Cricetulus griseus: one gene and its partners. The protein of the gene in region 1 purifies or fractionates together with the protein of each later gene. This does not show direct contact. Links are inferred from orthologs where the notes say so. Each region holds a gene or a part of one and is shown in the gene's direction. Other genes may lie near its edges.

Region 1 (4,013 bases):
AACATATGTAGATTTATGATAATTAAGACTGAGCTAGCAGATGAGATCTTCTAGAAGCTAGCAGATCTAGAAGCAATGCTAGACATTGGCCAAGCAGCTTTGTACTTATTATGTCTCTGTATTATTTTGTCCATCCACGCGGCGGGCAGAACTCGGCTGCTGGCAGAGACTGCCCACGTGGCAGTGAGGCTCAGGCAGCTTGGTCGGAAAGATTTATCGTAACATTAACTCATGCTACAGCAGGGATTGTTGGCCTAGTCAGTATACTGAAGTTACATTGAGGATTGTGGTTTTAATTTTTAAGAACAAAACCCAATGATGCTAGTTAGTCAGGGTATGAAAAGGAAAAATAGTGCTGAAGTTATTTCTCCACCATTCAGTTTGAAATATTTGAATTTTATCTTCTCAGACTCTGAAGTGTTTGACACATTTGGATTTGCACAGCAACAAATTCACCTCATTTCCCTCCTTCTTGTTGAAAATGACATGCATCACCAACCTAGATGCCTCTCGAAATGACATTGGACCAACAGTTGTTTTTGACCCCCTGGTGATGTGTCCCAGCCTCAAACACCTTAACCTGTCATACAACCAGCTCTCTTCCATCCCGGAGAACCTCGCCCAAGTGGCAGAGAAACTGGAACAGCTCCTACTGGAAGGGTAAGAACTCACTCAATAAGACAACACACTTACATCCCACTGAACAAGCATGGGCAAGAAAACATGGTGATATTTCTACAGCAATGAGTTTAAAGGGAACGTGGCAAAGGTGGAGGCAATTGGTAATTCAGGCAATTTTGCTGGTTGGAATCTTCACAGTTAACTCTGAGGCTTAAATATGCCTTAAAGCTGTACTTGGGGGGTGAATTGGTTTCATTACCTTTATATTATACAAGCATTCACATTTTAATCCTCAGTTTTGTGTTTTACAACTAGAAATAAAATATCTGGGATTTGTTCTCCCTTGAGCCTGAAGGAACTGAAGATTTTAAATCTTAGTAAAAACCACATTCTGTCCCTACCTGAAGACTTCCTTGAGGCTTGTCCAAAAGTGGAAAGTTTCAGTGCCCGAATGAATTCTCTTGGTAAGTATGGTGTGCTGACTTCATCCTTACCAGGCCTTCAAGGAAGAGGCACATAGATGTGTTTTAGAAGGGAAGTTACTGGTGGTATTTCAGTTAAAATGTGCCGCAGTTCTACAAAACACATTGGCAGACTGATGATGAACTGAGCCATCAAGCCAGGGAAAAGCATGGAGAAAAGGATGTAGATGCATGCTTCAGCGAAGGAATGTCACACTAGCTTGATTCCACTTATAAAACAGCCTGAAGAAGGGAAAAGTATGGTGCCAGTAAAAAGTGCCATAATTATCATGGGCTAGAGAAGAGAAAGGGAAGAATACATGGTGCCTATATGACAGCAATGATGGACAGATGCCATGTTTGTCAGAACACAGGGAATGAATGACCTTAAACTAAACCGTGAATGGTGACACTGCTGTGTCAGTACTGGCCCCTGTTACAGCTGAACTAACACTGACTTGATAGTTGAGAAAAGCTGTGTGGGGAGGCAGGATGGGGAACAGGAACTGGGTCCTCTTCACCCTCATTATCTGTAAAACTAAAGCTGTGTAAAGTTTTGTTTTCAAAGATGTCTATAGTTTAAAAACATTAGCATATTACTATTATCATAGGAAAAACTACAGTCACATGGCTTGCAAATAATAATCACACTTTTGTTCATTTTTCATTTCCATGGCTGTCTTCATGCAGAAAAAAATCTTAATCCTGTTTCATGGCAGAATAGATTTTTAAATATAATTGAATCATTTATTTCCCCATCTTTCTCCTTCCTCCAACACCTCCCACTTTCTCTAAAATTCATAGCCTTCTTATTCTTAAGTTATTTTATTACCATAAATACACTAAGAAATGTATAAATGCAACCCTCTGAATCTTTTTTGTGTTTCTTGTATAAAATGTATGTTTTTAGGACTGACCACTTGGTATTGGGTAGCTAGTTAAGAAGGATTACTATCCCTGTCTCAGTGGTTGTTAATTTATTGTAGCTCTTCATATGTGGGTGAAATTTCTCTCATCCATGTTGGAATGTTAACTGGTTTTAGAATTGTTCAGGTGCTGTTCAGGCAGCCATGTTGTTGAGATTTCATGGGTATGGCTCCTCAACTGTTTCTGGAAGACACAATTCTGCAGCAGAGTTCCTGGACCTCTGGCCCTTATGATCTCTCTCTCTGCCTTTGCTTCTGAGGTATTCCCTGAGCCTTAAGCACAGGGGTTGTGTTGTAGATGCATCAATGGGACTAGGTAGTCGTGTTCAATGTTTAATCTGTATTTTACCTAGTTGTGAATTTCTGTGATGACCCCTGTCTCAAGAGAAAAGAATCCTCTTTGATGAGAGGTGAGAGCTGTACCTATCTGTGGGTATAAGGATACGTGTATAGAAAGCAGTTAGGGATTATACTGGTTTAGGAAAATCCTCTAAGATCCGTAAGTCCAGTTGTCTCATTTGATTGACTAGGTTTATAGGACCAGGCTTGATTTTCCTTCTGTTGAACAGATCCTATGTCCAATTAGACAGCTTGCAGTTACCATCAAGATGTCTGTGCCATTATTAAACATTTATCGATAGCTTGCCATGTTGTTCATTTTTGTTTGTAGGCATCACAGCTAGATAGTACTATTATTCCTCCCTTGACTGACTGCATTTTACCTTCTGCTGCTATGAAAGCTAGTTCTTAAGGACAGCGCTTTCGTGTCAGATCCAGCTGGAATCCTTCAAGTCCTGTGTCCAAAGTACTTGATGTCTTCAGTATCAGGAAGGCAACAGTGACAGCCTATATTTGTTTGGGAGTCTCCTGGACTATACCAACCAACAACTTGAGAGGGGTTTCTCACTTCTGAGGTTCGATAGTCCATGGCTCTTAGGGGAGGTATTATCATCCTATGTGGAATTACTTCATTTAAATATCCTCTCCCTATCCATATTGTTCAAGATCATAGATACAGACCTAATTTCATTCTTCTACATGTAGACATCCTGTTTTCCAACCACCACTTGTTGAAGATGCTCTCTTTTATCCAGTGTGAATTTTGGGCATTTTCATCAAATATTAGATGGCAGTGGTTATGTGCACTCACAGTTGGGTTTTCTGTTTTGTTCCATTGAGCTACATGTCTGTTTTTGTGCCAGGACAATGCAGTTTTTAGTACTATAACTGTGTCATATGTTTTATCTAGAATGGTAACCCCCCCTTGCATTTCCCCTATTGATTTAGCTATCTGGAGTTATTTATGGTTATATATGAATGGTAGGGTTTTGGTTTTTGTTTTGTTTTCTATTTCTGTAAAGAATGCTGCAGGGATCTTGATTGGTATTGCATTGAATCTGCAATTGCTTTTGGTAGGATGGTCATTGTAGCAATAAATAATTCTGCCAATTTATGAACATAGGCAGTTTTATCTTATTATTTAGTGGAGTACTATTATGAAGTAAAATTGTTTTATGCAGTTAGTACAAAATGTGACGTGCACAAATGATATGTTACTGGCAACTGCTCTTACTGAATTTATCAGAAATCTAGTTAAGATGATTGTAAACATCCATTATATTGTTTTATTTCCTTAGCTGCGATGCCTGCCTTACCTTTTTCCATAACAAGCCTAAAATTATCTCAAAATGGTTTCACATGCATTCCAGAAGCAATTTTCATTCTTCCGCAGTAAGTTCATTGTTATTTACTTCTGAAGCTGAATGAGTTGTGGCATAACTTTTAGAAGTAAAGCAATGATTTGAAATGAGCACATATATCATGCATTTATAAACCTACTTCAGTGTTTTATTTTTTATATGAGGGTTTGATTTTTACTAGAGAAAAGATCCATCTCTTCAACCTTTGCAGTAACTTACACATGCTTTGTGTAGGAAAAACAAGAATAATTAACTGCAGCGTCCTATATCTAAATAAGATGACATGGGATGAATGTTTGTCAGAT
Region 2 (3,766 bases), on another chromosome or scaffold:
GTTTGAATGACTTTTAAGAGTTTACATTTTCTATGATCTGTATACTCACATTCTTCTACCCTTCATTTGGGAGTCCCTGGTAAAGAGAGCCTCCGTTGCTGATGCTGTATTGTATCCCTGAGCAATTGTGTTTGGGAAGAAAACAAACAAGCATAGGGAAGCTTTAGGTTTCTAGAGTTGTTTTGTTTGTTTTTTTTTTTTTAATATAATCAATTATGGCATAAGTTCCCAAGAGTAATAGGATAAATCTGTAAGTTACTACACACTTTTCAACTAAGATGAACATGTTTTAGTAGACCTCTATCTCAATATTCTGATAATTATAAAAACTTGGTTACATTTTATAGGAACAAAGAAGAAACAGGCTAGCAAGAGAACTACCTTCAGCTGTATCACGAGACAAGGTAAATAAATAAAACTGTTTTTATGTTATATTCTCCACACCTCAGGGGAGAGCTCAGCCTCAGCCAGGTGTATTTCTCTGTGAGAATATTTTACTTCCTCTGTCTCTGATGGTTTAAGGATGGTGTATAAAGTTTTAAAAAGCTTTGAATAATTTAAAAATAAAGGTGGCTTTTAAGCATCAAGGATTCTTTATAAGATTCAGATTCTTTATAAGATTCAGATTTGTTCAATAATGATTTTATCATAAGGGCTTTGGGAGAGGGACGAAAACTGTGTATGTAGTAGGTGTTAATTCTTTGCAGCAACTTTCAGCAGTTACACCTCTTATCTTGGGTTCCTTGTCAGAAAAGCTCTCATTAAGTGCTGGACACCCTACCCCACCCCGCAAGGAGCAGCAAGCAGCATTAGATTCGGGTTTTCTTAAGTAAGTTTTCATTTGCAGAAAAGCTTGACAAGGGACAGTGCTGTAGGAAATGAAGCAGAGTATAGACTTGTATCTCCATGGGTACTTTTGTTTTTTTTAATTACTTTACTATTTTGTTTATAGAGGGAAAATTTTGTCTATAAAATGTTTCCAAATGCATTTGGCATCCTTGATTTTTTTCCCCCCTGCATTTTTGCCTTTAGTCTTCTAAAGTTCCAAGTGCTTTGGCACCTGCCTCCCAGGAGCCCTCCCCTGCTGCTTCTGCCGAGGCTGATGGCAAGGTCTGTTCTCATTCCTAATCTAAGCCTGCATGCCAAGTTTGGAGACAGTATGCTGAATAAAATGATATTAATATGGGGCATTGTGTTAGACTATTTTAGCCTGTCCAGATTTTTAAATTGTATAGCAAAGTATATATCCGAGTATTGTTGACATGCTTTCCTTTGCTTGCTATATAGAAGATATACATAGAAGAAATGATCTTCTACTTTTAAACTTTCAAGCTATTACTGTTTAAATCTTGCTTGTTAAATTGCATGTTTTAACATATCTTTTAACAGTTAATTCAGGACAGCAGAAGAGAAACTAAAAATGTGAGTCTCTTGCTTTAGAATGAAAATGTTGGTGCCTTTGGTTCTCACTAAAACACTCTTCACATTCATCAAAAAACCTGTTCGTACAGTGACCTCCATTTCTTGTCTGTGTTATGGTCTTAATGTTCCTTTTATCTAACCCATGTAAGGTGGCATTAGTCTAGCTTTTACACTGTTTTAACTGTTATTAACAATAGCCATTCCTACATCTGCTACCTGCAAAATTAGCTTCCAGTATCTTCTTTTGGTAGAGATTAAGATTTCAGAGCTGGAAATGGTCTGAGCTCTAGTCTGTTCAGTGCTTTCCTGCGTTTCCCATAATTGTCTGTATTAACTCTAAATATAGAATTTCACTTGTGCTTTCAAAGCTTAAGCAAATTCACAACCTGTGAGAGATTAAAGCTTGTCGATTCCTTAAAAAAAAGCTTGTCAATTCTTGATAATCGTTTTTCACTAAAGATCATGGGTAGAAAACTCAGACCTATTTCTTTTCTACTCTTTCTTTCACCGCTTATTCTCTAAGTGTAAGTTTCTCATCCTGAGCCTTATGGACATCTCTCTCTGTCAGCCATAGTCTCCAGGGAACCATTCTAATCATTGCACAAGTTTTATTTCATTCATGGTTCACTTTCCTTATGATTCCATTTCATTTATAATTCATGTCTGTTTAACAAACACTAAAAATTAATTACTCACTAACACATATAGATATCACTTATTTTTATATTTTTGATATTGTGACAGATTTTTCAAATTTGGATGATTCCCCAAACTGCTTATTTTCATACAAGTACCATAAGTCTTCCATTACATTTATATGACCCAATTCTTTTACATTTAGAAGATCTTAAAGATCTAAAAACATCTCTTAAATGTTGGTGTATTTTGTTTTTCTCATATTGTTTCTTTTAGAAGTCAAGAGTCAGAACCCAGAAAATAAGGTTCCAGAAGCAACTGTGGTGAAAGGGAGCAATGGCTTCTCACTGACTCCTTTCTCGGAATGAGGGATGGGGGAGCATATGTTGTGCTCATGTTGCGTTTCACATTTTAGGTAGCTTCTTGATGTGATAGTTGGGTGTGAGGATGTAGTGTTCTTTCTCTTAGTAAAGAGGTTTACTTTTTCTTTTGACTCTCAGGGATATAAACTAGTTTTAGAAATATGTAGAGGCTCACAGTTCTGTAAGCTCATATTCAATGGCTAGTGTTGAAGATTACTTTGGTGAGAAGCAACCGAGCAGCAGTTCTGTTTCCTTGTGTGTGCTTTTAATGTAGTGTTTGAGGAGTGGAGAAAGATGCAACATTTTGAAAAGTCAGTAAATGACAAATAAAAAGTAATTATATGGGACCTGAATTGGCTATTGGCTTGCAGGCAGCTTCAAACAGAACCTCACAGGTTTCTGGTGACAAATGCCATTATTATCTCTGACTTCATTATCTATTTGAATAAATTCCAGATAGGTACTACCTGTGTGTTCTGGATTACCATCCAACCAAATGAACTTCATTTGTTGTCAGATATACAGTGTATAGATTTGGCACTTGTGTTTTCAGGTTGTATCTGTAGGAGGTGGGATTGGAGATGGTGGTCAGGAACCAGCAACAGGCAACTGGAGAGGAATGCTGAAAACTTCAAAAGCTGAAGAATTGCTTGCTGAAGAAAAATCAAAACCAATCCCAATTATGCCAGCAAGTCCACAGAAAGGCCATGCTGTCAATTTGCTGGATGTGGTAAGTCATTAACAATTTGATTTAAATCTACAGACAAACGGAAGTCGTAGCAGAAAAAATTAAAGTCTCAAAATATTTTAACTTTTAAATATTAAATGTTGCCATTTCAAAATGGCACAGAAGTAATATTTTCCCCTTATCCTTTTAGCCAGTTCCAGTTGCACGAAAACTGTCTGCCCGTGAACAGCGAGATTGTGAGGTTATTGAAAGACTCATCAAATCCTATTTTCTAATTGTCAGAAAGAATATTCAAGACAGGTCAGTATTACTTAATATATAAATACTGCTGGATGAGTTCATGATCTGTTTTAATAAATCTTACATGAAACAATTTAGATTCTAAATCTAAACTGTGGTAACAAGACTTATTAGTCTGTTAACATGGAATGATTAGGGTATTATATATCAGCTGGAAAAAAATTTAATAATAAGAGGATCAAGTAATAGTGATGTGTGTCTATAATTACAGGTATCGAAAGACTTAGCCTCAAGGATAATGATCACAGATATAAGGCCAGCCTGAGATGCCCTCCTACCCCAGTCTCCAAATAAAATAATTAGAAAAGGGTAGCAGTGTGATTCCATGCTATGGTATAGAATTAGTTTAGTATAGTAT
Region 3 (4,013 bases), on another chromosome or scaffold:
TTCATTTCTTCTTTCTGTTATTCATTCTTTTTTTAAAATTTTTCTTCAGGCCTGGAATGATAGCTAAATAGGTCAGGAACCTAGCACAAGGACTCAGGTTTGACCTTGAGAACCCATATATAACGAGACATGGTAGTATACACTTGGTAATATGTCCAGCTAGCCTATGTGGTAAGCTCTAAGTTTATGATACTCTAAAAGAGAGAAAAGGTTTTTAAAAATGAAAAGGGGTAGATGGCTTCTGAGGATCAATACCATGGGGTGTCTTTCATCACACGGACACTTCTCCCTACCACTGAGTTGGATTTGTGTTTAATTTAGACCTGTACTAAAGGGAAAATTGCTGTACTTAAGATACACAATTAAAGTAAGCCGTCTCACTGAGTTGTATTAATAACATATCACCAGTCGTGATAAATAATAAATTTATTTGATTAGTTTCAATGAAACGAGTTTAAATAAAGTCATGCGGTGCTTGATGTGGTGGATGACAAGCTACAGACAGGTATGTGGTCTTTTCTAGGTTCCTCATTCCACACCCCTGCTGTCACACAGCATGCACCCTATTTTAAGGGCACAGCTGTTGTCAATGGAGAGTTCAAAGAGCTGAGTCTTGAAGACTTTAAGGGGAAATACTTGGTGCTTTTCTTCTACCCTTTGGATTTGTAAGTGATTCTATAATGCTTTATGTCCTGAGAGCTGGTGTTGGTTTATAACCCACAATGAAATTCCTCTTCTAGTGAAGAGGAAGATTCTCTGATTTTTGTCCCCTGGTCTTGGCTGTATGTGGCTCCTGTGATGAGCATAATGGGAAAAAATGACTTTACTTCTAATGGAAGAGTTTTAATATGATTCTGTAGTTTTTCTGGTGGTCCTGGGGATCAAAACCCAGGCCTTGTTCATGCTAGGCAAGCGCTTTATCACTTTATGCTCTCAACCTTTTGTGTTTTGTTTTTTGTTTTTTTAAATGTCTTTTTCGAGACAGGGTTTCTCTGTATTGCTTTGGAGTCTGTCCTGGAACTCACTCTGTAGACCAGGCTGGCTTCAAACTCACAAGAGATCCTCCTGTCTCTGCCTGCCCAGTGCTGGGATTAAAGGTATGTGCCACCAACGCCTAGCACTCTGAACCTTTAATACAGTTCTGTATTACATGCTTTTGATTAATGGTTCTCTAAACCGGTTTAAACTTTTTACCAGTCTGGTTGGAAAATGAGAAAGTAGTATAAGAAATGAGTTTTTCATAAAGCAGCTTTGTTTTAAGTACAGGTTTTCTTTTTAAGTCTTCAAACACATTACCCCCCCCCCCAGCCCCATGCAGATTGATTGATTGATTGATTGATTGAGGCAGGACATCTCTACATAACCCTGGCTGTCTTGGAACTCACTGTAGACCAGGCTGACATCAAATTCACAAAGGTCTGCCTGCCTCTGCCTCCCGGTGCCCAGCAACAAGAAGGAAGGAAGCTTACTCTTTTTTTGGGGGGGGGGGACTGGGGAAGTGGGCATTGTCTCTATTTGTAGACCAAGCTGGCCTGAACAGACAAATATCCTCCTGCCTCTACTTCTGAGTTCTGGGATTAAAGGTGTGTGCCACCAACCCAGCCCATTTCGCTCCCTAAGCAAATCAGCTTAGTTTTTAGACAACTTATGTTTATGTCTTAAATTTTGTCTTTGCATAATCTGATGAAACTTTCTTTTTCTCCCAAGCACATTTGTGTGTCCTACAGAAATCGTTGCTTTCAGTGACAAAGCCAATGAATTTCATGATGTAAACTGTGAAGTAGTTGCAGTTTCGGTGGATTCCCACTTTAGCCATCTTGCCTGGATCAATACACCAAGGAAGGTAGGTTGGTTGACAAGTCACCTTTCCTTGGTTTTATTTCATTCTTCTTTGGTTTCATTTCTAAATCATAAATAATATAGACCACACAGTAAAACAGTGTGTATTTGTGAGATACAGTGTGATATTTTGATACTTGTGTGTTGTGCAAGTATCAAATCAGGCTATTCAGCACTGTTTACTCAATCATTTCTTTGTGGCTGTGATATTCAAAATCCTTTTTTAACTAGGCAGGCTGGTTCATAACTTTAATCCCAGTACTCAGAAGGCAGAGGCAGGAGGATCTTTGTAAGTTTTAAGCTAACGTGGTCTACCTAGTAAATTCCAGGGCAGCCAGAGCCACGTGGTGAGACCCTGTCTCAAACAAAAATCCCTAGCCAGGCAGTGGTGGCACACACCTTTAATCCCAGCATTCGGGAGGCAGAGGCAGTCAGATCTCTGTGAGTTTAGTGACTAGCCTGGTCTACAAGAGCTAGTTCCAGGACAGCCTCCAAAACCACAGAAAAACCCGTCTCCAAAAAACAAAACAAAAATTAATAATAATAATCTTCTTTTAGCTAGTTTAAAAAATATAATATGTTCTAACTATAGTCATCTATTGTGTACAGAAGAACAAAACTTATTTTTCTTATATAACTAATCATTGACCAGTGTCTCTTCCTCATTCCCCAGCTACCCCTGTCCCCTATACTAACAGAAGAGATTTAAGACAAAGCCTAGAGGTTGTCAAAGCATAGCCAGTCTGAAGTGAGTTTCTTGCCTCACCCGCCGCCACCCCCTTCTTCCTTTCAAAACCAGTGTCTCATGTGTTTCAGGCTGGCCTCTTAACTGGATGTATTAGCCCAGATGACCTAAACTTCTGATCCTGCAGCCTCCACCTTCCAAGTGCTAGGATCAGAACCTGGTTTATGCCTTCCTGGGGATCAAATCCAGGGCTTCATGCCTGCTAGATAAACTGTTTACCAGGTGAGCCATATCCTCCTTAAGTAGGCTGTTTGTAGATCCTTGCCCATCAGCAGTCTGTAAACTATGGTAGTAATAATTCCCTGGACACTGTATGTATCTTTACTACTCATTCCATGTATATTTTCCAAGGTTCAAATAGTAATGGAGACAGGCTCAGTGGGACAGGGGGCATGGCTTCGGTCTATTACCTCCTCTTAGGCCTGTACTCTGAACCTATAGTAGCTTGCTGGACTGTTCTTTATGATGTTGCCTAGAAATATGCTAGGAAAAACAATCAGAATTCCACTAGGTCTGACACAGGACTAACACTAGTGACTTGAGTAATTTGTCACACCTTCATTATTATGTTTGAGAAATTAGTTTTCATCTCAACAGCTGCTTTAACAATTGGAAAAAGAGAGAAGGGTATGCGCAGAGCTTTTCCTTAATGGGCAAGAAGCCTTGGGTTCGGTCCCCAGTACCATATAAACTGGTTGGGTTAGCATAGCCTGTGATCCCAGCGTTCCAGATCATCATTGGCTACGTAATAAATGAGAGGCCAGTCTGGCTACATGAGACCCTGTCTCAAAAGGAAAGGTAAATCAGACTGTAGCAGTGTCCTGAAGAAAAAGTACTCTTTTTGAGCTTCAGTTTCCTCGTCTGTAAAATAATGGAAATGGGCCATTGAGGTGGCTCAGCAGGTAAAGTGCTTGCTGGGCAAACATTACAACCTGAATTCTTTCACTGGAGCCCACATAAAGTGAAGGAGTTCCACAGTTGCCCTCTCACCTCCACACACATACACGTCAGTTAATAAAAGGAAATGGGCACTGGAGAGATGGCTCATCAGTTAAGACCACTGCTGTTCTTCAAGAGGACCCAGCTTCAGTTTCCAGCATCCACATGGGAGCTTACAACTGTTTTCAATTCCAGGGGATCCGATGCCCTCTCCTGACCTCTTCAGACACTGCATGCCTGTGGTATGCAGGTAAAACACTCAAACACATAAAATTAAAGTAAATTTTAAAAAACATAATGTCAGATATAATTGTATGTACTTTAGGCAGGTTGCAGGAGGGAAGTTAAACAGAATTCCCTTGTGTGCATTTGCTATTATTTACCTCCATTGCTGTTAGTTTTAAACATTGGTACATGTTTCAGACCTTTTCGGATCACTGAGAAAACTGGTCCCATTTGCCTTTTTATTAGAATGGTGGCTTGGGCCACA
Region 4 (4,611 bases), about 290 Mb from region 1:
CATAGTAAAAGTCTGCAAGGGAAGTAGTGTAGCTTTAGTGCCTGAAATAGTTTAATGAAAGCATTAAGGCTGAAGAGGCAAACCGCACAAGGCTGGCACTCCAAAACCTTAGCTTATTAAGACATACCAAGAGGTAAAGAAGTCTCCAGATAGGTTTGAAAACAGCCTTTACAGCTCCCTTAGCTCTGGCTACATCCAATTACCTATGATTTCCTTAAGACACTGAGATGACAGCTCTGCTGGTAAAGCACGGAAGACCTGAGTTACCTATGGAAAAGTAGGAGAAAGCTGCAATGCTCCACGTGCACACACACAATAAGGCGAACATTTAAAGCATCACATTCCACACACCTAGGCTTCCAGTGCTTTCTTTGTCCGTTAGGAAATGTGCTCAACTGCGTTTTGTACAAGTGCTGAGCTACATTTTGTGACTTCTCTTGTAATTTGCTTTGTTCAACATCCAACAAAATTCTAAGCAGGAGGCTCAGTGGTGTGGTTAAGAGCATGTATTAGTCTTCACAACTGCCTGGAGGCTGAGAAGTTCAGAGTTTGAGGCCAGCTTTGGCTACAGAGAGTACTAGGCTACCCTGGTCTATAATGTGGCAAGACCCTTTCTGAAAAAACAAAGCCAAGGAGGGTAGAGAGAGATGGCTTATCAGTTAAAAGCACCAGGTGGCTCACAACAGCCTGTAATTCCAATTACCTGGGATCCCACTCCCTATCCTGACCTCCAGGGGCACTAGGCATGCATGTGGTGCACATACACACATATAAACCAAACACTCATACACATACAGTAAATATAAAAATAAAAAATCCAAACAAAATATACGAGTCTCTGTATAAAAGTAACCTGAACAGACTCCATGCCTCTGACTTCCTTGGGCACCTACACAGACACACAAGATTGAAAGTAAATCTTTATAAAATATGTCAACTCTACTTTCCCAAGCTTGCACCTCCAGCTGCTTTGTTTGATACGTCTACTGGGTTACTGAATAAGAAAAAAACACTCCATTTTTTCATTCTGTCCTTTGAAGGCCTAAGGTTCACTTTGCCAACTGCAGATTTTGATTCGCTGACTAGACCTAAAGATGGTCAGAAAATTAAAACAATTAGCTAAAGAAATTTTCTTTTTTGTTGCTACTCTGCAGTCAAACGTAGTGGGAGATTGACTAGAAAAGAATCCACTGCCCTCAATTTACATAAAGCATTCCCTGTTTGCTGCAGCCCCAGGTTCCCTCGGCCTGAGGCATTGGAGACTTAAGGATTTGAAGCCTGGGCTCGCCCAGAAAGCTCTCACACGGAAGTGCACTTGGGTGAAACCACCAGATTCAAAGCCTGCAAGGTTGGTCTGGCGACTAGGCCGGTCTGGCTCAGCATTTCTTGCCTGCAGGGCTCAGAAATAAGGGGCTGCAAAAAATTAGGCTCCGGGTGGGGTTAGGGTTGGGGTTGGGTTCCGGCAGGTCCCCTTCGGCGAAGCGCCTGCGGCATACATAACCTCTGCACTTCAAGACTTCCGCACTCTGGGCCCTCACAGTAAAGAAAGGCCTCTAGAAGATTCCACGAGTCTCGGAACCCGGGCCTGAGTCCACCCCCACAAGGCCCTTGGGCACGGCCACTCCCAACCCCAGCGCCCCCGCGCCGTTGCCCAGGTAACCGAGGGGCGGCGGCAGCGGCGTGGGGCGGGACTTCCGGCGAGTGACGCGCCCGGGCTCGGCTACAAAAGAGGTCGGCTGCGGCGGGCCGGGCGGAACTTTCCAGAACGCTCCGTGGGAGGTGGAGGAGCAGCGTCTGCCCCAACTGCGTTGTGCTACGCTCCTCTTTCCGCTCTCCGGCACCGGCCCGCTCACCGGTGAGTCTCGGCCCTCGGGCCTTCCTCGGCCGCGACGTGCGGCCTGGGCGCCAGATAGCCGAGGGGAGCCGCAGCCGGAGGCGGTTGGCCCCGCGTGGGCAGGGGCTGCGGGCTCCCTGAGCCGGAATCCGGCTTCGGAAGGCCGCCGGGATGCCCGGCGCCCTCCCCGACCGTCTGTACGCCGCGAGGAGGCCCAAGGCCCGAGCCAACTCGGCGCCCGCCTCAGACTCCTGTCGGTGCGCACCCCTTTCTCCCCGCCGCCCGCGCCGGGTGGGCAGCGCTGCGCACGCGCGGACCGAGGCAGGGGTGAGGGGCTGCGGGAGGAGCCGGGCGGAGGCTGCGGCTTGTGCTTCTTCTCCTGGCTCTCCTCCCTCTCTTTGTTGAGGTCCGGCCTTCCCCCTCCGCCTTTTCGATCCGGGTGGGAGGGAGAAAGGAAGGAAACCTTAACTGTAGGCGCCAGGTGCTGGGGGGAAATCCAGAGGGCGAGTCAGCTTGGCGGGCCTGAGGGACGAGAGTGGGTAAGCGGCGAGCAGGATCAGGATGGCGACGGGGCCGGGGGCACCTGCTCCCCGGAGCTGGTCTCATAAGCCACTCCTCCACCCCCGGGAGTCCACTGTCCTTTTCCGGCGAGTGAGGGCCTTTATCAGATGTACAAAGGCAGTGCTAATGTACTAACCAATGGACAGAACCTACCAGTGCTGCTTTGGGTTACTAGCACAACCTGTGGGGAAAGGAAACCGGAAGGAGCCCCATCACACATGTGTTAGTGCGGCAGAGTAGGAACCAGCTGCTAGAAAGGCTTTCGAGTTCCCCGCAATTTACGTTTATATTTAGTCTGTTAGAATTTTCAGCCAGATCATATCAGGAATTGATAGCTTTAAAGTTAGCGAAGGCAGTGTTCTTTATACGGCAAAGAACAGATTGCTCTAGTTCTGGTAGTTTGCTAAAAACTACCAATTAAAAGCCGGTCATGGTGGCTCACACCTTGAACCCGGCTCTCAGGAGGCAGAGGCAGGTGGCGCTTCTGCACAGCACTAAAAGCTGGTTTAAAGCTCCCCGTTTTTCTGATTTCAGGCTGTGAAAGATGGTGAAAGAAACCACTTACTATGATGTTTTGGGGGTCAAACCCAATGCCACCCAGGAAGAACTGAAGAAGGCATATAGAAAATTAGCCTTGAAGTACCACCCTGATAAGAATCCAAATGAAGGAGAAAAGGCAAGTACATTCTCGAACAGTTCAGCAGTGTTGCCATGTGTGTACTGCTGGTGCCCGAAAGTCAAGGTTGTAATACAGTGGCTGTGCCGTGTGACAGTTATTTCTAATGGGATTTCTTTTTCTGAAACAGTTTAAACAGATTTCTCAAGCTTATGAAGTTCTTGCTGATTCCAAAAAAAGGGAATTATATGATAAAGGAGGAGAACAGGCCATTAAAGAGGGCGGAGCAGGTGGTGGTTTTGGCTCACCCATGGATATCTTTGACATGTTCTTTGGAGGAGGAGGGAGGATGCAAAGAGAACGGAGAGGTAAGAAAAAGTACAGCTTACCTGCAGCAGAATGAAATGGCTGCTACTGAAAAACTGAATTTACTACCTTCAGTGCTTGTTTACATATTGGTATGATGCCTCTGATTTCTGGTGTCATTTAAAATTGAGATTTTTAAAAAAGAAATTTAGATAGTTGAGATTTTTATGTAATCAAAATAGCTAAGCCAATCTAGTGGGTATCTCCCATCCACAGATACCCAAACAGTAAGATAACAGCATGGCAACCTGGGCTTCTAAGCCCTTACACATCATGCCCCTAGAACAAACACAAATGGTTAAGTGTAATGGCCTTTATCAGTTAAAGAAGAGTTGAGAAAACTGAAACATAGCAAGCCAAGACTGAAAACAGCTCATTGCCTCCAGATAACCTGCTGCCTGTTTAATCTTACTTTAGCTTGCTAACTCAGTTTATATGCATTTAATGTTTTAACAAAAAAGTTGTCTCTGAGCTAGACAGACTTCTTGGGAAGATAGCATTGGAGGTCAATAGTACTTCATTTTTGTTTACTGTGTTTTTACAAGAATTTACTGGAAATGAATGTTGTGGCCCTGAAAAGTGGCTCAGTGGTTAAGAATACTGTACTCTTTGCAGAAGATCCAGATTTCAGTGCATGGCTCACTACTGCCTGTAACTCCCGCTCAAGAGGATCTGATAACCTCTTCTGACCTCTGGGCTTTCATACAAACATGTATGCACAAAAATTAAAATTAAAAAAAATCTGTTGTGAACCATAAGGATAGTATGAGCTACTAACTTTTGGCTTATTTTAATATGAGGGTTTTTGTTGCTGCTGCTTTGGAAAGTATACTTGGTCAGTTTCCAGAAGCTTTGTTTTTCCTTTTCTGTACTCTGTATACAAAGTTAAGAAATGGGCAACTTTCAACTTGGAAGAACCTGCTTACATGTTCTTTTTGTGATAGTAGAAATCTAAAGTAAAGCTAGAAACAAAAGGATATGATACTTAACATCTCACTTAAAAGAGTAAATGTTCCTTTAGGTATGATGGTCAGAAAGGATTGAAACTGTTGTTAGCCACCAGGCAGTGCCATTTGGTGATGGATAAAGTCCTAGTGGAAGGATCACTGGCTAGGAACTTATTAACCATAGAGGGTAATTTTATTTCCATAGCCTGATTATCCTTGTGTGATCTCAACCTCCTCCTCCTATTGCCATAGGTAAATTAATTACATGTGGCATTCCTTTGTAGTCA
Region 5 (4,775 bases), on another chromosome or scaffold:
CCCTGATGCCTCTGAACCTGGGTGATGCAGAAACTGGTTTCCTGACTCAAAGCAACCTGCTGAGTGTGGCCTCGAGACTAGGTCCTGACTGGCCAGCCGTGGCCCTGAACCTAGGCATGCCCTACCGTGTGCTACAGCGTATCCGGCATGAATTCAGGTGAGCCTCATGAATTCTAGTAAGCCTTCTGACTCCTAGCCTTAGCTTCAGGACCAACCCCACACACACACACACACACAGACATACCACCACCACCACCACCCCACACACACACACCCCCACACACACACTAGCTGAAAGCTTTCAAGATGATGGAGGTGGAGCAAATGCCAGCCTGGAAAAGGAAGGTTTGGTCACTAGCCCAAGGAGCAAAGAACTCGGTCGGTTTTGAAAAGTGAGGCTCTGTATGTGGTGTGTGGTCCGGGGCAGAACACCTTCATCACCACTCTTTTCTGCTCCAAGGGATGACCTGGATGGGCAGATCCGCCACATGCTCTTCTCCTGGGCTGAGCGCCAGGCTGGACAGCCTGGGGCTGTGGGACACTTGGTACAGGCCCTGGAACAGAGTGACAGGCAGGATGTGGCTGAAGAAGTGCGAGCCATCTTGGAGCTTGGCCGCCACAAGTATCAGGACAGCATCCGGCGCACAGGGCTGGCCCCTGAGGACTCTACTGTGCCTGGCACCTCGGCTTCACAGACCCCAGAGTCTGCCCAGGCCTAAGCTCAGCTGGCCTTTGACTTGTGTTGGCCAGTGGGAAGAACCCCTCCCCTATCCTTCTACCTCACCTGTGTGGTACAGTGCTCCAGCATACAAAAACTCCTTAGGGTTTTGAAAGCTTGGTTTATTTTGAGACAGGTCTTACTGTCTAGCCCAAGCTAGCCTCCAACTCCCAGTACAACCTCAGAGATTGATTTACTTATAGAATAGAGGGGAGGGGTGCCTAGGTGATCTAAAGCCTAGCCCCCGGGTGTGCCCACTCTTCCTACCATGCTAAGTCCTCCCGTTAAGATGAGGGTGGAGGGCTGGGCGTTGGTGGCGCACGCCTTTAATCCCAGCATTCGGGAGGCAGAGGCAGGCGGATCTCTGTGAGTTCAAGGCCAGCCTGGTCTCCAGAGCGAGTGCCAGGATAGGCTCCAAAGCTACACAGAGAAACCCTGTCTCGAAAAACCAAAAAAAAAAAAAAAAAAAAAAAAAAGAGTGCAGAGAAGACCTGGAGAGACAGCACTGGCTGCTCTTCCAGGGGACCGGGTTTCAATTCCCAGCACCCACATGGGGGCTCACAACTGTCTTGTAACTCAAGTTCCAGAGGATCAGACACCCTCATCTGGTTTCCACAGCACCAGACACACATGGTGCACAGACATGCATGCAGGGAAAACATCCATATTCATAAAATAAAAGCTATTTATTGTGTGTCTATGTATCAGAGGATAACTTTGCAGAGGTTATTCTGCAGGGTCATCAGGCTTGGTTGCAAACACCTTTACCCAGTGAGCCATTTCTAGACCCTAGTGTGTCTTCCTCAGGGAGGGGGAGGAGCCATTCTACATAGTAACCCTGCAGCAGGTGTGGATACAAAGTCATCTGTGACAGAACTGTGCGTAGCTCTGCCCACCGGGATCTCGTGGGCGGTGTCTAAGGAGCATCTGGGGACCAAACCTCCCCCAGGCCACACCATACACGGTTTCCCGCCACCTGTTCTTGGTCTCCATCCCGGCTTGAGGTGGGAAGACCAAAGAGAGGGCCTAGGGATACTCCAGAAAGCCCACACCCCCTCAAGGGTGGCCTGAGGCTGTGGCTGGTGGCAGTGGCCACGCCTGCCGGGAGGGGGAGCCGACGGCAGCCAGGGTTTAGGGCGGAGCGGGCGCGCCTCCGAGAGACGCGCCTCCCAGCTTAGGTGCAGGCCGGGCGCGCGGCACAGCGGGGAGGCGATCCCGGCGGCGGCCGTGTGGTGAGTACTAGCCGGTCAGTTTCTGTGGCGCCCACCCAAATCTGGATGGCTTGCGGGGAGAAAAGGGGTGGTGTTGGTGGCTGGGAGGGGTGACATCTGTTCAGATACTGCGTCTCCGGCAGAGCATGGACCAGCGGGTACCTTAACCGGCTGTCTCTCGGGTGTTTCGGAAGGCCGTGCTCGGTCCCGGCGCTGCCGGGCGCGCTCCCTGCACACGTGTCCCAGCCGTGTGGAAACCCCAGAACTGAAGTGGTTTTTTTTTTTTTTTTTTGCCGGGGTGGGGGCGCCGCTCACGTGGGAACCCGGTGGACGTGCGTGGGCACGTTCATAGTCAGAGTCCGTGTCGTCTGGCTGGAGATAGCGAGGGCAGCTCAGCCCGGACCGTGGGGTAAAGGGTATGATCTGTCATGGAGCAGAGGATGTGCCCCATCCCTGGTTTTTCTTTGTAGGTCCCGCTAGGGCATCTCGCAGTGGAGCCCTCTTTGTAGCCCTTCTAGCTAGCAAGGCAAAGCTAACCTCCCTAAGAGGAAGGGGTGAGGGAGACTATTGGGGGAGGGGCACGCTGGTGGCGGGCTCAGCCCCAGCTCTCTCTTGTCTGTCTCTCTCTCTCTCTCTCTCTCTCTCTCTCTCTCTCTCTCTCTCTCTCTCTCTCTCTCTCCTCTCTCTCCTCTCTCTCCTCTCTCCTCTTCTTTATTTTGAGAGACGGGGTCTGTGTGTGGCACTGGCTGTCCTGGAACTCTCTATGAAGACCAGGCTGACTTCGAACTCAGCTGAGATCCGCCTGCCTCTGTCTCCCAAGTGCTGACTATGAGTGCCACCACCGCCCGGCTGCTTTTCTTTTAGGTAGGAAATGGGCAGCTTCATTCATGGAAATGTGGGGGAAAGCTGTATGAAGCTGTTAGCCTCTGTATGCTAAACTCATGTTTCTCAGTGGGCCTGTGGCCTGACTGGGGAAACCTGGGCCAGCTAGGCAGAAAGCTCTGGATCCTCAGCGGTTAGACTGTACCGTCATGTTTCTATGGTAACAAGCCCTTTAACCCAAGCAGAGGCAGGAAGATCTGAGTTTGAGGCCAAGCCTGGTCTACAGAGGGAGTTGTAGGACAGACATGGTTACACAGAGAAATCTGTGTGTGTGTGTGTGTGTGTGTGTGTGTGTTGGGGGGCAAAAACAACCCCTGGGGTGGGAGAGAGAGAACAGCCCAGAGGGTTCCCTTGCCTGTTGTTCCAGGCAGCAGAGCCCCTCATTCTCAGCTAAGCAACTTTCCTGTCTGGTGTTTGCCTGTTTTGTTTAGTTCTGGGTGCAGGGCTGACTCAGCCCATGGGATCTCAGTGCCTACCTGTCTCTTCCCTACCACCTTCAGATAGTCTGACTTCTCAGACACAAACAACACCCAGGTGCCCAGATTCCAGATGTGGGGAGAGATAGCATCTGAGGAACACCAGGCTCACTGTTCTGAGGGCAGAGGCAAAGGGAATGATGGATAAGGGACAGCAGGGAGAGCTGCTGTAGCTAGTTGACATTTGGAGCATGGTATGGGGAGGGAGAAATCAGACTACAGTTCAGAGGTCAGGCCTTTGTCACATACCAGGCTTAGGAGGGACTCTTCCACTGGGGCCCCTGGTGTGCAGAGGTGGGGCAGAGGGCAGAGGGCACCTGGAGTACCGCCCCCATGTCCTCTGGACCTGCCAGGTGAGCAGGGCCTGTGCTTGGCAGTGGCCTTTGATAGTTAAGCATCCCTTCCTTGCTCTTTCCAGAGAACAGGTATACCTTCTTGTAACCTAACCTAAGGTTCCCTGATGGGTACACCCAGGTCTCACAGCACAGTGAGTGTTGACCCATTTCTCAAGGGCACATGTTCACAGGTCCATACAGGGTGTCCCATGCCTGGGGTTCCAGGGCTATAGACAGATCTGTGCTTGTCTCACAGGCTTCAGACGGAAACCTACTGAGTGGCCTCAGAACTTGGTGGCCTGGGACTGGGGTCCCTATGGTTCTCATGGTTAGTCTGTACCCCTTCTTTAGCTCCCAGGCTGGGCCCAGCCCCAGACCCCCAGAAGTTGTCTCACCCCTCTCTGCCTTTCCCCAAAGCTGCAGAGATTATCATCTAGCCCAAAGTGAAAGAGAAAGTCCTCCCCCCAGGCCCGCCCCGCCCCGCCCCATGGCCAATCCCTGTAGCCTTTCGCCTCCTCCCCCTGGCCAGCCTCTTTATCTCCTCGGTGAGCTTGCTTGCCCTGGAGCTGTGGAGGAGCAGTTGTGCGCACTCTGGGGTGCACTCAGGGTGAGCAAAACCCAAAGCTTGTATGGGGAGAGGTGGGTAGCAGGTTCAGGGTCATAAGTCCAGTGGGGGCTCTTTAGTGTGAGACAAGTCTGTGACCCCAGGTGGCAGCTCTGAGGACACTAACCTGTGTGTGACAGCTGACCTCTGAGGACTCGGGGAGATACACAGGGGAGGACCAGGACTCCTGGAACCCACCCCAGCTTAGTTTATATGATTGTGTCCCACAGGGGAGCCCTCCCCCCCCCGAAAGGATTCCCATCCTCGCTGCTAATAGAAGGGGCCCTTCTCCCACCCCAAGGGAGTTGGGTGTACCGGCCACAGATGCCTTGGGAGACAGACATCCCACCGCTTCCCTCCTCATGCCATTTATTCCTGTCCCGTCTTCCCTAAATCCTTATCCCCAGGCTCCTGTGTCTGTTAGGAGTGAAACACTTCCCTTGGGAAGTGGACAGGAAGGTGGGCAACCAGCTCAGTGTGGGTGGGGGGTCTTGCGTCTCTATGGGAAGGGGCTCCATGAGCCAGAGTGAGGTGCTGTGGAACTAGGTC
Region 6 (4,497 bases), on another chromosome or scaffold:
CATTTTCAGTATGGAACTCCCCTATCCTACCTCCAGTCACCTGCATATCCTCTCTTTTGTTTTCATATATACCTGCATCAAGTAAGCCAAGGGGAGAGTTGAGGGACAGGATGGCAGAACTGAGAGGGGGTAACCCAAATGGAAAATTTAAGGGCTGTCATTCAAGACATAATTAGAGTTATCTTTCTGATTACCCTGACCTACTGGAGAGTAAATCCCCATGTATGGAATTGAATCAATAATGGATTTTCCACTGTGTGCCATTTGTCTGGATCACCTGAGTTCACTAATTGGCAGGAAACAAGGAAGACGGAATCATAGTAATGGATCACACAGAAGTTGGGAGTCCCAGCTTCCAGCCCTATGATTTGGCTATTTCGGGGGTAGGGGTGGGGGAGGGGGGAGAGTTCTTGGCCTTAGAGTGGACACAGTGCCACCACCAGATGTCGCTCCATCTCAAAGATCCAGGGGCAGCTCCAGGAAGCCAAAATCCAGCTCTTTCATATTTTCCCTTATTTGGAGTAGATTCTTCGATGTTAGGCACACCCCGCCCACCTCTCCCACCCCCACCATCAGACCCTAGGCCAGGCCCTCCCATAGGGAACTATAGACCCAAGCCCACCAGCTATACTAGGACCCTGAAGAGCTTTTCTAGACTTGTGTAGCCAGGGGGCGCCAGGAGGGAAGGAAGCAGAAAATCCCTGAAGTAAAACCAGTGCCTGTAAGGCAAATTCAGGTGTGACAAGATAGAGAATTGATTTCCTGAACTTTCCACCTTGGCCAGACTCCTTGGAGCTGCAAGAGACTGTGTGTGGGTTTCACCCACTTTTTCTTTCCTGGGATCTGGGAACCTTGGTGCTTATGTTCTGGCTGGCAATGACCGTCATACTCAGAACCAACCTGAGACAGGACCCAAGATCCAGGCTGGAAATCTGTCTCGCTATACCCCTACCACAGCCCCGAAATCAGCTCCCTATGTCCAAACTAGCAGGGGACTCATCATCTCATATGTATTCATATGAGGGTGGACTCATATCCACCCTTGCCATTGGCTGAAAAGTGTCCTTCTAAGTTGCCACTCACCCTTATCCCAATCAAGATACTAGTCTCAAAAGACCTCCCTCCCACCCCCAGAGAGTCACACAAAGACCAATTAATGGGTACCCACGCCTGTACCCATCTCCTGCCAAACACTCAGATACCAGCCCCTCTTTCAGGGACCCCCCCCCCATGACCTCGAGCTCACAGATTCCTGAGCACAAACATAAGTTTGTGGTAAACTATGCAAGTCTGGACACTAACACGATGCCTCGGACCTGAGTCCACACCCAAACTGCCTGGCCTCGGCCTCTCTGCTTGCTTTCCAAACCTTTCCCAGCTCCCGAGCGTCGCACCCACTATCTGACTACTATCCGGTGTGGAGCTAATTACAGAGCCCTCACCTGCTGTCCCTCCAACCGCGGGGTGGCGCCCAGCTCTCTGCGCTCGAGCCAGAGGCCTCAGAACTCCCCTGGCGTCCGCTGCGCGCCGCGCGCCTCCACGCGAATGAGCCGCTGCTGCCCGCCTTCTTGTTGGCTGCATCCCCGCCCCACGTCCGCCCCGCGCGGGGCCCGGCAGAGCCCGTCCCGGCAAGAAAGCCTTAATTGGTAAAATCGCCCTGGAGCCGGGGGCGGGGAGGGGATGCGGGGGCGCGCCACGAGCTCAAGTGCCCTGGCTGACAGGCGACGCCATCCCTCAGAATGAGCTCACTGCTCCGTGAGGGCCGCCAGGCTTCCGGGGGGGGGGGGGGTCTGCAAAACCTGTGTTTAGGCCCAACCTTTAATAGGCTAGATGAGTACAAGGGAGCCAAATGCTTACTGGCTGGAAAGAAGGCCCCGCTCCAAAGCCACCTATACAGGGGAATTGCCCACAGTCACAGCCTTCTGCCTCTGCCCAAGCCTGGTTTGGCCACACCGGTCAGGTCTTGTTCCATGGGAAGAGATGAAACAGGTAATTGCAGTGAGCACCAACCGTTCGTTCCTAAGGCCCCAATGGGTCCCTGAGCACTGTAATGAACAAGCCCTTGTAGCTAGCTATCATTGATTTGGTTCCTGCTAGGTGCAGCTGTTGGCTGTGAGCAAACAACAAAAATACATTGAATTCTCAAAGCAATCAGGTGAAGTCTTAAAGCCTGGGGGTGTGCAGTGTGGTACAAAGTGCCAAATATCTGTGAAGTTGGTAGGCACAGCCATTACCTAATATTGTCAAGCTCTCTCTTCCTGTTCTATGTGCCCATTTCCTGGTAGTTTCAGATTCAACTCAAATGTCATTTCCTACAGAAAGGACACATAAAGCAATGCCATTTTTAACATTTTGTTATTCATTTTACCTGCAACCCCAATATGAGCTACATTTGCATTATGCCAGTGTGCACATAACATGAAATTGAAATAGATAATTGCAAATTAGATTTTCCTTTTCTGATGTGTGTGTGTGTGTGTGTGTGTGTGTGTGTGTGTGTGTGTGTGTAGACTAGGACTCACTCTGCAGCTCAGGCTGATCTGGAAATCACTATGTAGCACCCAGACTGGGCTTTGAAGTGGCAATCCCCCTCCCAATTTCTGTTTCATAAATGTTGGAATAACAGGCCTATTTAATTTGTTTTCCTACTCAATATTATCAAAAAGAGAAGGTGGCACATGCTATATAGTAAGATAAAAGGGAGAAAAGAAAGAATATGAAAGAGCAGTGAGGGGGAGTTTGATCACATCTCCAGAGTCAATTTAGTAATCTATAGTGTAACTTGAAGAGCAAAGTGCTGGGGTCCCCTCCAGGCACTATGCATCCAGTGCTACCTTTGTTGGCTCCACTGGCAATGACATTTCACATTCTGGCCTCCCAATAAGATCAAGATCCCTCACTGTTCTGTCTAGCAGGAGACCTCTGCTAGGGAAGCCAATGAATTATCATAAATTGCTAAATTAGTGGCTTGATTTCAAGTTTGTGAGGTGGCACTAGAGTACATGGAGATGATTGTCTTTCCGGAGGATAAACCCATTTACCCACAGGCATGGTAATCAGATCAACCGGTAGGCAGATGGAAGGGGCATGGGGGAGGTAGTGACTGTGAGCTGCATTTCAAAGACATCCCCCACACACATACAAACTGAATTTGAACTTTCTTTACTGCCCCTCCCAATGCATACACATCCAAGAAACCCAAGAAGGGTCTCCAATTTCTTTTTCTTTTCTTGTTTTTTCTTTTTTGGTTTTTGGAGACATGGTTTCTCTGTGGCTTTGCAGGCTGTCCTTGAACTAGCTCTTGTAGACCAGGCTGCTCTTGAACTCACAGAGATCCACCTGCCTCTGCCTCCCGAGTGCTGGGACCAATGGTGTGTGCCACCAACACCCGGCATTCCAGTTTCTTTCAGGTCTATCAACTATGAAGATTAGTTAACACAGCACTAACTGTTCCTTGGTAAAAATCATGAATTAAAAACATTTTCTTGCTGGTCGGTGGTGGTTCATGCCTTTAATCCCAGCACTCAGGAATCAGAGGCAGGCAGATCTCTGAGTTTGAGGCCAGCCTGGTCTACAGAGTGACTGCCAGGACAGCCAGAGCTACAAAGAGAAACCCTGTCTCAAAAAACAAACAAAATTTTCTTCCTGTGTTGAATAAATGTTTTCATGGTGACTTTTCCTTAAAACTGGTGGGGGGGGGTCTGGACTGAATTCAGAATTTAATGCATGCCAGCCAAATACTCTACCACTGAGATAACTACCTCCCAAGCCTCCACTATGTTACCCAGGTAGCCTTGAATTCACCTTGTAGCTCATGCAGGCCTTGAACTTTCAATTCTCCTAACTCAAAATCCTAAATGCTGAGTGGGATTACAGGACTCACAAAATTTTCTTATTCTTAGAATGGGTCACATATAGCCAGGCGGTGGTGGCCCATGCCTTTAGTCCCAGGACTCAGGAGGCAGAGGCAGGCAGATCTCTGTGAGTTCGAGACCAGCCTGGTTTACGAAGCTACACAGAGAAACCCTGTCTCAAAAAAAAGGGTCATTTCCAAGATTTTTTTTCCCAAATAGCCACACCTGCCAATAGCTACTCCCTCCCAGGAAGAACTTCCGAGAGACCTACAGAATGCCCTGCATACATCCTTCTGGCACCTCTGACAAATCCTGAGTGAGGTCTGAGGCCAGACTTTTGTAGCACCTAGATGACCAGGTACTTCCTGTGGAGAATATTTCCATGAATCACTCAATTTGGGGCTATTGCAAAAGCCTCTTTAGACTCTGGGATCTTGATTCTTCTGCTGAATGGTAGAGAAGGGAGTTACACTGCAATGGACTAGACTTAAGCTCCAGGTTTGTGCAAGAAAACCACAGTTCAGATTCCTGATAACATCTGTGATAGGATTTTATAGTGGGATAGTGAGGGGATTAAGAGGCAGTGTGCTGAGGCAGGTGCAGAGGGTGATCCTTAGGGAGAAGGCAAACCTAAAATTCCTTG
Region 7 (4,013 bases), on another chromosome or scaffold:
CCTGTCCTTGTCACCCTCAGGCACAAGCTTGCTGACCAGAAGACCAGGAAATCCCTAGGCAGAGGGGAGTTCCGCCTTCTTCACTATGCTGGAGAGGTGACCTACAGTGTGACTGGTGAGAATCCTGACACTGGGTCCCATGGGGCAAGGAGGGGGCACTCCGTCACCTTTCATCTGTTCTCCCCTTCAGGGTTTCTGGATAAAAACAATGACCTTCTCTTCCGGAACCTGAAGGAGGTGAGGAAGACTCAGGCAGGCTGAAGTGGGTTGGGTACCCACCGCTCTGTGTGCATCTTTGGCTTTGTGCTCAACCCTGTGACCCCTCTTCTGCCTCACAGACCATGTGCAGCTCGATGAACCCCATCATGAGCCAGTGCTTTGACAGGAATGAGCTCAGTGACAAGAAGCGGCCAGAAACGGTGCGGAGACTATGACACTGGAGTGGTGTGTGTGTGCCTGAGTGCAGATCACAGCCTACGTGGCACTGTGACTGTGAGTGTGTTTAACACCCATGTGCACATCCATGGGTGTCTGCAGGAGGCTGCTCTTGGAACTGTCTTTGCCTATTTTTCCCCCCACCCTAGTGTGTGTGTGATATGCTGTGGCGTGAGAAAGGTCAGAAGACAACTTACTGGAGTCAGTTTTCTCTTTCCACCACATTAAGTCTCAGGGATCAAACTCAGGATGTCAGACTTGCCAGGAAGTGTCATTGCCCACTGAGCCACCTCCCTGGCCCTTCTTTGTCTGTTTCTAAGTGCATACCTGTGTGTCCACTTTTCTCCATATGTAGACTGTTGTGTGTATCTACCTGCATTTCTCTGTATTGGTACCCACAGCACCCCAGCCTGCGTGGGCACTTGTGTTATTGCCTAGTCAGCAGATATCTCTCAGCTCTGAGGAAACAGATAGATGCTCTCACAGCCAGGTGCATGGATGCTTTGGGAACCGTAGAGCGGGAGCAGTCTGCCTGAGGGGGTGGAGAGGTAGGCGTCTAGGACGGCTCCGAGGCAAAGGAAGCATTTGAGGTGAGAGTCTGAGTGCTTGGCAGGTGGACCCGTAGGAGGGTGCTGGAGGCCGCAAGAGATCAGTACATACAAGCAGAGGCCAAGGGAAGCTAGGCAGTTGAAAAGACCCATGTAGCAGACAGTGGTGCCACATGCAGGGGACCTTCAGCCAGCTAGGGCCAGAGGTGCAGATACTGGGCTGAGCCAGAAGAGGTCATCACACCTCCAGGTCAAGAGGGAGAGAGGACTGGAGTACTTCCAGCAGGCTCAGAGACATTGTGGACTTCCCCAGCCAGGATCCTGCCTCTGCTGTCCTGTCTCTGTCCTCCCCATCTTCTGCCTGAGCCTCCTCCTCTTCCAGCCAGTGTTAGCAGACTTTCTTTGGGCCACCAACTAGTTCCCTAATAATGACACGGAGATTTATTATTGATTATGAGTGTTCGGCCTTACCTTAAGCTTGTTTCTTGCTAGCGCTTTGTCTGCATTTTGCCTCAGGGCTTTTTACTTTTTTTTTTTTTTTTCATTCATTTCACTGCTTCCTCCACATCTGGCTGGCTTGTAGCTGGCTGGCTGACTCTCCAACTAGCCCCAGGCATCTCCTCCCTCTCTTTCTCCTTTCTCTCTTCTCTCCTCAAGCCTAGATTCTTCCTCTTAATTTTCTCTGCCCCTGAGCCCCACCTATCCCTCCTCTGCCTAGCTATTGGCAATCAGCTTTTTATTAGACCACTTAGGTGCCTTAGGCAGACAAAGCAACACAGCTTTACATCATTAAACAAATGCAGCATAAACAAATGTAACACACCTTTACATAGTTAAAGTGATATTCTGCAGCATAAACATATGTAACACAGCTTTATATAGGTTTTTCTTTAAATAATTTGTTTAACTTTATTTTATGTGCATTGGCATAAAGGTGTTAGATCCCAGCACTTGGGAGGCAGAGACAGACGGATCTCTGTGAGTTCGAGGCCAGCCTGGTCTATAAGTGCTAGTTCCAGGACAGCCTCCAAAGCCACAGAGAAACCCTGTCTCAATGCCCCCCCCCAAAAAAAAAGTGTTAGATCCCCTAGAACTAGAGTTGCACACAGTTATAAGCTGCCATGTGGGTGCTGGGAATTGAACCGGGGTCCTCTAGAACAACAGTGTTCTTGACCACTGTATCATCTCTCTAGTCCCCACGTCTTTATATAGTTAATTATTCCACAACAAACCAGTATCTCCCTACTCAGGATACCTATCTATACACCCTCCCCTACCCCTACTCTGTAACTTGCCTCTGGTTTCTGTATCCAGTGATGGCCCCAAGTGGACCCTTTCGTGTCCAGCCTCCTTTTCTTTTCCTGAGTTGGGGCAGAGATCACTCTCCACCTAGTCCCACAGGCCAGGGACTTTTCCAGCTGGGTGATACTGATTTCTATTGCCTGAATACATCTCAACTCCCTCTCCTTTGCCCTTATAACTACTGTTCCTTGTCATCCCTGTTATAGGTCCTTTGAACCAGTGAACCTCTCCCAAGGTTTCCGGCTCTCCACCAGCCCCTACCAATCCATCTTCCACATAAATGCTGTAGAAATAATCTAACACAGATCTCATTGCCACTCCCTTGCTCCACATTCTTCATTGACTGTTTCCCTAAAGATAAAATCTAGTCTCGCCAGTGTAAACTCTTCACTGATATACAGCCTCTGCGTTCCTTAAATCCTTGCAAGGATCATAGCTCCCTGTGTGTCAAGCCTTTGCCATCTGCCTGGACTGCCTTTCTCTCCTGCTGTCTCCTACTGACATAATTTCACTTTAGGGTCATTTCTAGATCTTCCCCAGTGCACTTTACCTCAGACTGATCAATTCTCTCAAAAATAAGGGCTGTGTGTGGGTATCTCAGTGGTGGAACTCTATCCTAACACACATAAGGTCCTGACTTTGTTCTTCAGCACTAGGAAGAAGGAAAAGAAAAAAAAAAGGGGGGGTGGTGGTGGCATTGCCAGGATAACTGAACAGGAGAGCTGGGTTTCTAAGCTGAGGTCTCTAACTGGCTGAAAGGAAGTGGGGTGAGGCAGGGGTGATGGGAGGAAGGTAGGGCAATCTGTATGGACATGACTGGCCTCAGCTCAGCCCCAGCCAACCTCCTATGCCCCCTTGGCTCACCAGGTTGCCACGCAGTTCAAGATGAGCCTCCTACAGCTAGTGGAGATCCTGAAGTCTAAGGAGCCTGCCTATATCCGCTGCATCAAGCCAAATGATGCCAAACAGCCTGGTGGGTTTTTCTGGCCCCACGCACGAGCAGTGAGCTATCACTGCCTCTCAGTGAAAGCCTGAGGACCGTCTTCGTTATCTTCCTCTCAGGTCGCTTTGATGAGGTGCTTATCCGACACCAGGTCAAGTACCTGGGACTGATGGAGAATCTGCGAGTGCGTAGAGCTGGCTTTGCCTATCGACGCAAATATGAGGCTTTCCTACAGAGGTAGGTGGGGTCAGCCCACCAGGAATGGGTAAGGTGGGAGGATGAGAACCTCCCGGAACCTTCAAGGGAGGAGGGGCATTCATTGCTCAGCTGCTCTGGGACCCAGGTCAGGAACCATTTTATACTATGGACCTGATGTTATGTTGGAAAAGAAGATACAAGGCACACACACACACAGCCCCACCCTTCTGAAGCCCCTAGTGAGAAGCATATTGGCAGGCTGCCACTAGAGACTGTGGTGACAAAAGCTCAGAGAAGGTGTTGTGGTTTTGTAATTATTCAGAAGACAGGACCTGAGCCAACCGGGATATGAATCCCATCTCTTCCTTAGGCAGATGAAATTACTTCAGCTCCCCCATCTTTAAAATGGGGACCCTTGGGCATGTGGATCACGTACCAGTGAGTGGGAGCACCTATAGACACCCGGCAAAGCAGAGGGGCCTCGAGAGCAGACTCTGGCTTAGGTTTGCCTGAGTACATTCCTGCTCTTCCCATCCCCAGGTACAAGTCACTGTGTCCAGAGACATGGCCCACGTGGGCAGGACGGC

Evidence for each region.
Region 2: the proteins of Lrrk2 (region 1) and Dnm1l purify together in Homo sapiens (co-immunoprecipitation; 6 studies listed by BioGRID and IntAct, with this or other methods). This does not show direct contact. The link is inferred for Cricetulus griseus from reciprocal best matches to the Homo sapiens genes LRRK2 and DNM1L.
Region 3: the proteins of Lrrk2 (region 1) and Prdx3 purify together in Homo sapiens (co-immunoprecipitation; 3 studies listed by BioGRID and IntAct, with this or other methods). This does not show direct contact. The link is inferred for Cricetulus griseus from reciprocal best matches to the Homo sapiens genes LRRK2 and PRDX3.
Region 4: the proteins of Lrrk2 (region 1) and Dnaja1 purify together in Homo sapiens (co-immunoprecipitation; 4 studies listed by BioGRID and IntAct, with this or other methods). This does not show direct contact. The link is inferred for Cricetulus griseus from reciprocal best matches to the Homo sapiens genes LRRK2 and DNAJA1.
Region 5: the proteins of Lrrk2 (region 1) and Slc25a22 purify together in Homo sapiens (co-immunoprecipitation; 3 studies listed by IntAct, with this or other methods). This does not show direct contact. The link is inferred for Cricetulus griseus from reciprocal best matches to the Homo sapiens genes LRRK2 and SLC25A22.
Region 6: the proteins of Lrrk2 (region 1) and Emd purify together in Homo sapiens (co-immunoprecipitation; 3 studies listed by IntAct). This does not show direct contact. The link is inferred for Cricetulus griseus from reciprocal best matches to the Homo sapiens genes LRRK2 and EMD.
Region 7: the proteins of Lrrk2 (region 1) and Myo1c purify together in Homo sapiens (affinity purification with mass spectrometry; 3 studies listed by BioGRID and IntAct, with this or other methods). This does not show direct contact. The link is inferred for Cricetulus griseus from reciprocal best matches to the Homo sapiens genes LRRK2 and MYO1C.

What each region holds. Positions count from the first base shown.
Region 1 is NC_048595.1:388,262,698-388,266,710, forward strand, and holds part of Lrrk2 (leucine-rich repeat serine/threonine-protein kinase 2), read left to right. Parts: intron 1-409; coding exon 410-660; intron 661-936; coding exon 937-1,085; intron 1,086-3,645; coding exon 3,646-3,739; intron 3,740-4,013. UniProt on the Homo sapiens protein: Serine/threonine-protein kinase which phosphorylates a broad range of proteins involved in multiple processes such as neuronal plasticity, innate immunity, autophagy, and vesicle trafficking.
Region 2 is NC_048597.1:73,166,682-73,170,447, forward strand, and holds part of Dnm1l (dynamin-1-like protein), read left to right. Parts: intron 1-347; coding exon 348-404; intron 405-1,032; coding exon 1,033-1,110; intron 1,111-1,389; coding exon 1,390-1,422; intron 1,423-2,973; coding exon 2,974-3,150; intron 3,151-3,298; coding exon 3,299-3,408; intron 3,409-3,766. UniProt on the Homo sapiens protein: Functions in mitochondrial and peroxisomal division.
Region 3 is NC_048596.1:448,234-452,246, forward strand, and holds part of Prdx3 (thioredoxin-dependent peroxide reductase, mitochondrial), read left to right. Parts: intron 1-523; coding exon 524-665; intron 666-1,707; coding exon 1,708-1,843; intron 1,844-3,994; coding exon 3,995-4,013. UniProt on the Homo sapiens protein: Thiol-specific peroxidase that catalyzes the reduction of hydrogen peroxide and organic hydroperoxides to water and alcohols, respectively. Plays a role in cell protection against oxidative stress by detoxifying peroxides.
Region 4 is NC_048595.1:101,876,020-101,880,630, reverse strand, and holds the start of Dnaja1 (dnaJ homolog subfamily A member 1), read left to right. Parts: upstream 1-1,717; 5' UTR 1,718-1,855; intron 1,856-2,224; exon of another isoform or gene 2,225-2,240; intron 2,241-2,929; 5' UTR 2,930-2,939; coding exon 2,940-3,071; intron 3,072-3,201; coding exon 3,202-3,379; intron 3,380-4,611.
Region 5 is NC_048596.1:59,745,692-59,750,466, forward strand, and holds the start of Slc25a22 (mitochondrial glutamate carrier 1), read left to right. Parts: upstream 1-1,818; 5' UTR 1,819-1,950; exon of another isoform or gene 1,951-1,964; intron 1,965-2,771; exon of another isoform or gene 2,772-2,793; intron 2,794-4,139; exon of another isoform or gene 4,140-4,229; intron 4,230-4,775. Other genes in the region: Pidd1 (p53-induced death domain-containing protein 1), read left to right, coding at 1-157, 461-719. UniProt on the Homo sapiens protein: Mitochondrial glutamate/H(+) symporter. Responsible for the transport of glutamate from the cytosol into the mitochondrial matrix with the concomitant import of a proton. Plays a role in the control of glucose-stimulated insulin secretion.
Region 6 is NC_048604.1:1,461,103-1,465,599, reverse strand, and holds the start of Emd (emerin), read left to right. Parts: upstream 1-1,509; 5' UTR 1,510-1,646; intron 1,647-4,497. UniProt on the Homo sapiens protein: Stabilizes and promotes the formation of a nuclear actin cortical network. Stimulates actin polymerization in vitro by binding and stabilizing the pointed end of growing filaments. Inhibits beta-catenin activity by preventing its accumulation in the nucleus.
Region 7 is NC_048600.1:89,129,172-89,133,184, forward strand, and holds part of Myo1c (unconventional myosin-Ic), read left to right. Parts: intron 1-20; coding exon 21-115; intron 116-190; coding exon 191-237; intron 238-338; coding exon 339-419; intron 420-3,152; coding exon 3,153-3,258; intron 3,259-3,347; coding exon 3,348-3,465; intron 3,466-3,966; coding exon 3,967-4,013.